Kluyveromyces lactis: one gene and its partner. The protein of the gene in region 1 interacts with the protein of each later gene in a pairwise test. Links are inferred from orthologs where the notes say so. Each region holds a gene or a part of one and is shown in the gene's direction. Other genes may lie near its edges.

What was found.
Region 2: the proteins of FPS1 (region 1) and HOG1 interact in a two-hybrid assay, tested with the Saccharomyces cerevisiae proteins (2 studies listed by BioGRID, with this or other methods). The link is inferred for Kluyveromyces lactis from reciprocal best matches to the Saccharomyces cerevisiae genes FPS1 and HOG1.

What each region holds. Positions count from the first base shown.
Region 1 is NC_006041.1:51,592-55,392, forward strand, and holds FPS1 (Fps1p), read left to right. Parts: upstream 1-1,511; coding exon 1,512-3,203; downstream 3,204-3,801. Other genes in the region: GOS1 (Gos1p), read right to left, coding at 3,304-3,801. UniProt on the Saccharomyces cerevisiae protein: Channel protein for glycerol. Has a role in both glycerol influx and efflux. Plays a role in osmoregulation: under osmotic stress the channel is apparently closed to allow accumulation of glycerol in the cell under hyperosmotic conditions.
Region 2 is NC_006042.1:1,865,797-1,869,286, forward strand, and holds HOG1 (mitogen-activated protein kinase HOG1), read left to right. Parts: upstream 1-1,412; coding exon 1,413-2,747; downstream 2,748-3,490. Other genes in the region: ATP-binding cassette glutathione S-conjugate transporter YCF1, read right to left, coding at 2,990-3,490. UniProt on the Saccharomyces cerevisiae protein: Proline-directed serine/threonine-protein kinase involved in a signal transduction pathway that is activated by changes in the osmolarity of the extracellular environment.

The sequences.
Region 1 (3,801 bases):
TTCAAAGGAAACTGAATTCTGAATACAAAAAAGGTGCATACCCCATATAAATTTTTATTCCTCTTCTCCATTCCTAGGTAACCTTCTTTCGGAGAAATTTTTTCTTTGCCTTAAGCAAATTGTATTTAGTTCATTCTGCAACCGCTACTATTGTTTGCTATAAAAATAGGTAGTAATGTCTGCTGGAAAGATTGCCGTTGCTATAGAATTTAAATCCTAGCCGGGTCATATTTCCTTTGAATTTTTCGCCTTTTTGTGCCTATTTTTACTTGGGTTGTTTCCCAATCCACTTTTTGTTATAGTGTGGGAGAACGGAGAAAAATAACGAACAAAAGCTGCTAGTGCAGAAAATCTCCCAGCTTTCGCCTTGAGAAAATCACTTGGTTCCTGGTAATTTCTGTGGGGATATAGAAACAACGGCGCAATGCTAATTATCCGACATGTTCAATTCTCTAGATTTCTTGATATCCTGATTGTCCGATGAGACAATATCACGCACGATATGCTGAAAATCTCGAATTGGCATTTTTGATCTTTTTAGTTTGTATCCAACGGGGAGCCCCACGCCCTAACAAAAAAAGAACTACCAAAACAAAGAGAAGTAACCTTAGAGAGAAAACACTATGTCTAGATTTCACATCACAGGTGTGGGGAATTTTACTTCAATTGCTCTCTGCTTAAGATAAGCTACTCTTGAAAGAGTGTAAAGAAGATTCCCGCAGCAACATTTCGAGACCGTTATTAATGAAACTCTTATCCTTGACTGAAGGATTGTTTTTCTGTGTTTCAGCACCCCGCATTTTTTTTCAATTGGTAGGAGAAGGTTGTCGGTATCATTCTTTTGTGGAAAGTTACTTATGATGTGAATGGATTTTCCTTATCCAACTCTTTTACCTCTGAACATTGAAAAGGAACGATGCAAAAACACTATGTGACATTCTGAATTTTTTTCTTGGAATGTTTGAAAAGCATAAAGAACAGTGTGTAATAGCGACGATCCTCCAAGCCAAGTCTCATTTGTACAGTAATATTGTTCCTCTTTCTCAGATCCCACGTTTTGCGCCTGGACCAACGGCCACTCTCATACCAGAATCAGAATACTAAAAGCTAATTCTAAGTATTTGAGGAAAAATACAAAGGTGAAACCAAACCGTCAATTCTTCTTGCCAGATGACGGCTGATGTTCTACTTGTCTTGATTATCGGTTTTGCCCAAGTTCTAGGCAGGCAAGTCAGCTTAGATAATCTCGGAAAAAAAGGAAAAAAAAAAGAACCCTCAGCCGTGGTAGTTGTAAATATTATAGAAACGTTCACATAACTAACTCATCTTTCGAATAATGGATATTTTTCATGTTTACATATCAATAATATCTATAATTTTGCGAAAGTTTTTTAATTAACTGTACAGATTTCGGATATTTACGACTTGCCGAACACTAGTTGAAACGAGAACTCTAGCAATACTAGATAATCAGAATCCTATAGTAGCTGCAGCCATAATTTGCGGTTGAAATGTCACAGACGGCCCAATATGAGCCTGTCAAAGACGCTGGAATATCCAATGGTGACTGGCAGAACGATGACTTTGCAAATGTGAATCATCGTTATCCGACAGGTAGCGTTGACGGGAATGAAAGTAGAATCTCAGGCGAAGGCGGTTATGACGATGATAACGATAGTGCAGATGATGGGGCTACGGTTCCTGTTACTGCCTACGTGCAACAATATCTGGACGAAGGTTCTTATTTTCCTGTGCAAGAGGTGGTACCGAATACGTCACTAAATATGAATAACTATAGGAGGATAAGAAGTAACACCGTAACTTCTAACGTCATGCCACCTAGGCCTACAGAAGGTCCGGGATCCGTGATGTCTAGATCGACGACGGGACCTAATCAAAACAGTCAAACTGCAGCAGATCCAAATGATCCGAGCAACGTGAATGGTGCCGTGACTATGATGGTGAAACCAAAGACTTTATATCAAAACCCTCAAACACCCACAGTTTTACCTTCGACATATTATCCGATCAATAAGTGGTCATCGTTTAAGTACCAACACATGAAGGAATTTTTCGGTGAGTTTTTAGGTACCATGATTATGATGATGTTTGGTACTGCTGTTAACTGTCAAAGGAAACTTTCACAACAAAATCAAATTAACAAATTTAATCAAATTATTCAGTTGAATAACATGGAGTCTGATCAAATAGCTATGCTGCAATATCTTGCAACTCCAGATGTTGCAGGTAATTTCGCAACTGTTGCCTTTGGTTGGGCTGCGGCTGTGGTAATGGGTTATTTTGCAGCAGGTGGTAGTGCAATTTCGGGTGCACATCTGAATCCAGCAATTACGGTGTCAAATTTTGTTTATAGAGGATTCCCTTGGAGAAAATTAGGTGTTTATTTTATGGGACAATACCTGGGCTCGTATATTGGAACCTTATTAATTTTGTGGTACTATCGAGAGGTTATTGAACATGTATATCCAAACTGGCATTTGGAGGAAAGTGTATTGGCAATGTTCAGTGTCGTGCCATTGGATTATCTCTCTACATCAAGACAAATAATTGCAGAATTTCTAATAGGGGCCATGCTGCAGTGTGGAATTTTCTCGTTAACAGATCCTTATACATGTTTGTCCACGGACCTTTTTCCTATGATGCTTTTCATTCTTATGTTTATTCTCAATGCAGCAGGCGCATACCAGACAGGTGCTGTTTTGAATCCTGCGAGAGATATGGGACCTAGGCTAGCTCTCTTAACAATCGGGATGGACAAAGATGTGATTTTTAACACGCATCACCATTTCTTCTGGGTTCCAATGGTCGTTCCATTCGTGGGAAGTTTCACTGGTGGTTTAGTATATGATTTTTGCATATATCAAGGGCACGAATCACCTCTAAACTTACCACTTTCAGCTTATACCGATTGGTTTAGAAGACATTGGGAACTCCTAAAGGTGAAAACATCATCTGGGTTCGTTGGTTCTGATTTAGAAACCATCGGTACTAATAACACAACCTCAAACGTAGAAAGCCACAGATCTCAGACGTCTGAGAACAAACAAGTCCATTTCAAGAGCGTATTGAGGAATTCAAAGACAAGAAATCCTAGCACAGGTATTCCTACAATCTTCGAATCAGAAGAAACAACCTACTCCCGACCAAATTTCATCCAAAAGCATAGTGACAGAAGCGCATGAGAACAAACACAAATGCATTCTTCCCTTTATAACGAATTACGTACCTATCATAGCATTAACAGTGATCTTATCAAGTTTTAATTACCTCAGTTGATACTATTTATGCTGTAAAAAATAGTACTAAGATACAAATTGATATTAAGGATGCCAATATTACAGCATTCTTCTTTCTTCTAGTGTTTATCTTTGATATCACATTATTAATCAAAGGAATGTGTTGCAAAGTCTGTAAGATTCTGTCACTAGACCTTTGTAAAAACACTCGTTGTGACATGAACTGCTCTCTGGTTTCATAAGCCTGGTCTATCAAAGAATCCACCACTGTGTGAGAATTTTCGACTCTCCGAGCCTCATCTTGAATATATTCATTTTGATTATCACTAGCACTATTTTGTAAATCTTTCTTCACTGAAAACAAGAGGTTAAGGCGATTGCGTTCTTGTTGTATGGAGGAGCGAATGTCACGGAACGTTTGCCAATTGTCTTGTAATGTTTCCCTATGGCGCTGTAGCTGTGATAGCTTGGACGTGGATATATTACTTTCACTGTCTGCAATTCTTTGTAAAGATTCCACTGTCTCCTGTCTCTGGTTGAGAAT
Region 2 (3,490 bases), on another chromosome or scaffold:
AGGGGGAGATTATTTTCTACGAGCAATTTTCTACGCAATACTACAAGGCAATAGAATCCACGAAAAAATTACGTAGTTGCTGCGGACTCTTTTTGTTTTGATTTCCGTTGTTTTGGTTTTATAGTTTTGCGTAATCTTCTATATTTGGTACCCTGTAAAAAGGTTCTAGACTTTGGGCATTTCACTCTTTAATCAGATTCGTTCCCCTTTGTCTGCTTGCTTCTGCAAGATGGTGTGCTTTGTTTACCCTGTGCGATCGCGTTTCAAGGGTTCCATGATAGGGCTTTAAAGGCGCTAATCACAAATCTCAAGTATATCGTCGTATTCCAGAGTCGCGGGTTCGACTCATGTTGAGTGTAAGTCAGATCAGTCACCAGTAGAGAAGGATGTCATGGCTTGATTTGTAAATAGACCCTGGAAACGCCGATAGTAGGTTACAAACTACGACAGAGCGTCAAGGGCGCGGCCGGTGGGTTTTACCTACTGCAAATCATCTCACGGTTCGTCCATTTTTTCTATTCCATGCCTAGAAAACCAAGAGGTGTGATTTCCCGGGTAACATCAAGTTACTAATCCGTTTCTATGCATCTATTACCCTGTCTCGTAAGTTTTCTTATCAGATCACGTTGTATGTAAGTAGGCGGTTTCAAACCATACTTTATTCAAATTGATGTCTGTCCAAAAACTGTCATTTCGACTTACAAAGAAACTTTAAATGAGGAAATGTATAATTATTGATCAAGAAGTACCTTTAACGTTTATGGTCACCAGTATTAATATGTAACGTCACGGTATTCACAGGTGTGCAATAATTGGGTGGTCTTCTCAAGGGTTTCTTACTTGGTTTATCACGTGATATCAGTAGAAGTATTACCCGGATGTCATGTATCATAATCCGCCACTGCCCCTCCTGTTCGCAAATCTTACTCTACATACATACATGCATACACATATAATAACCCAATCTATCAAGCCGACGTCGATCCTATCTGTCAGAGCTGTTGTTACGTCTTAAATAGGAAACAAGTACACAGGCAGTATTTCAGGGTTAATCACAGAACCAAACGGTGATAAAATCTTCGAAACAGTGTTTTATATAATTCCCACTGTGACACTTTCCCCTCCATTATCGGTGAATGGACATCGTTTTTTGCCAGGCCCTTCCTTTTTTTTTTAGTGAATTAGAACCGTTGAATTTCATATTCAAGTCGTTAAATTTAAAAAATTGAAAATTAAAGAAAACTTGATAGAAACAAAACTAGGAGACCCTTCGACAACAATTGCTATAACGTTGCTTAAGTTATCTGCCAGTTCGAGCGATCTCCCAAAGAATTAGATTCATATACGTATCCTTCGTTGAACCAAAAACTCGAGGATATCGAAGCTGGACACGTTTTTCCAATTGAAATAAAATGTCGAATGAGGAATTTATTAGGACTCAAATTTTTGGTACAGTTTTCGAAATTACCAATCGGTATACTAATTTGAACCCGGTTGGTATGGGTGCCTTCGGGTTGGTTTGTTCTGCTACAGATACGCTAACAAGCCAGCCTGTAGCGATTAAGAAGATTATGAAACCGTTTTCTACTTCCGTACTGGCAAAAAGAACGTATAGGGAACTCAAATTGTTAAAGCATCTAAGGCATGAGAATTTGATTTGTCTCGAAGATATCTTCTTGTCACCATTAGAAGATATTTATTTCGTCACTGAATTGCAAGGGACGGATCTACATAGATTGTTGCAGACAAGGCCTTTGGAAAAACAATTCGTTCAATATTTCTTATACCAGATCTTGAGGGGGCTTAAATACGTTCATTCCGCAGGTGTGATCCATAGAGATTTGAAACCTTCCAATATCTTGATCAATGAGAACTGTGATTTAAAGATCTGCGATTTCGGACTTGCTAGGATTCAAGATCCTCAAATGACTGGTTACGTGTCAACCCGTTACTATAGAGCCCCAGAAATCATGTTGACCTGGCAAAAATATAATGTTGAAGTAGACATCTGGTCTGCTGGTTGTATCTTTGCCGAAATGATCGAGGGTAAGCCTTTGTTCCCAGGTAAAGATCACGTGCATCAATTTTCTATCATCACTGATCTATTAGGATCGCCTCCAAAAGATGTCATAGACACTATTTGCTCAGAGAACACTCTCAAATTTGTTACTTCATTACCTCATAGAGATCCTGTACCATTCAGTTCGAGGTTCCAGAACTTGGAACCAGATGCTATAGATCTTCTAGAAAAAATGCTTGTGTTCGATCCAAAGAAGAGAATTACAGCAGCTGATGCCTTGGCCCATCCTTACCTTTCCCCATATCATGACCCAACCGACGAACCTATCGCAGAAGCTAAGTTTGATTGGAATTTCAACGATGCTGACTTACCTGTTGACACCTGGCGTGTAATGATGTATTCCGAGATCTTGGATTTCCATCAAATCGGTGACCCACAAATCAATACAAATGCTACTTTCGACGACCAAGTAGCCGCTGCCACTGTCGCCGCCGCGGAGGCTGCCTCTAAGCAACAGCAGCAGCAACAACACCAAACTGAAGAGCAAACTCAACAGACAATCGCCTCTACTCCTCCCCAGGCTCAAGTGACCCCACAACAACTTGAAAGTGGCGCTAACTCTAATTCCAATTCTAACCCTTCTTTCTCTATTGGCCCTGATCCAGCAAACGAAACATTGACGAATTTTGCTAATCAAGCAGACCAATACGTCTCCAAATTCAAATAAGTTCAATGTAATGAAATCTGCTTGACAGAAGTATATTCTTTTTTTGTTTTTATTTCGTATTATATAAAGCATCTTTTAATCACAGCAGAAATGTAACTATTTACACGTTTCTTACGATAAACCGAATATTATTTATAATTCTGATAGGGCATCTCAACTAGGAAACAATTGCTTAACAAAATTATTACAAAAGTACTTAAATAAACAAAATCTCTGTTATGATAATACAACTTGAGGGGGTTTCACTCCGTTAAGCCGGCTTCAAGACATAACGAATAGAAAATAGAATCCTTCTTCTGTAACAAATTCTGAGGAGTGTCGAACTCTGTTACTCTACCTTTATCCAACACTATAATTCTATCACTGTCCATAATTGTGTTAATCCTGTGAGCAATTGTTAAGATTGTTCTTTCCTTAAATGCGTTTCTAATCGTCTTTTGGATCAATTGATCCGTTTCAACATCAACAGCTGCAGTTGCTTCATCCAAAATCAAGATATTACTTGAAATCAACAAGGCACGAGCCAAGCACATCAATTGCCTTTGGCCTACACTTAAATTACTACCACCTTCAGTAAGCATGGTCTCCAAACCATTAGATCCCATACCCAGTATGTGATCCTTCAAGTGTGATAAAGCCAATGCATTCCAAATTTCTTCATCGGTATACCGATTAGTAGGATCGATGTTTTCTCTCACTGTGCCTTCAAAGATTTGAGAATCCTGCGGGATAATCGACAATCC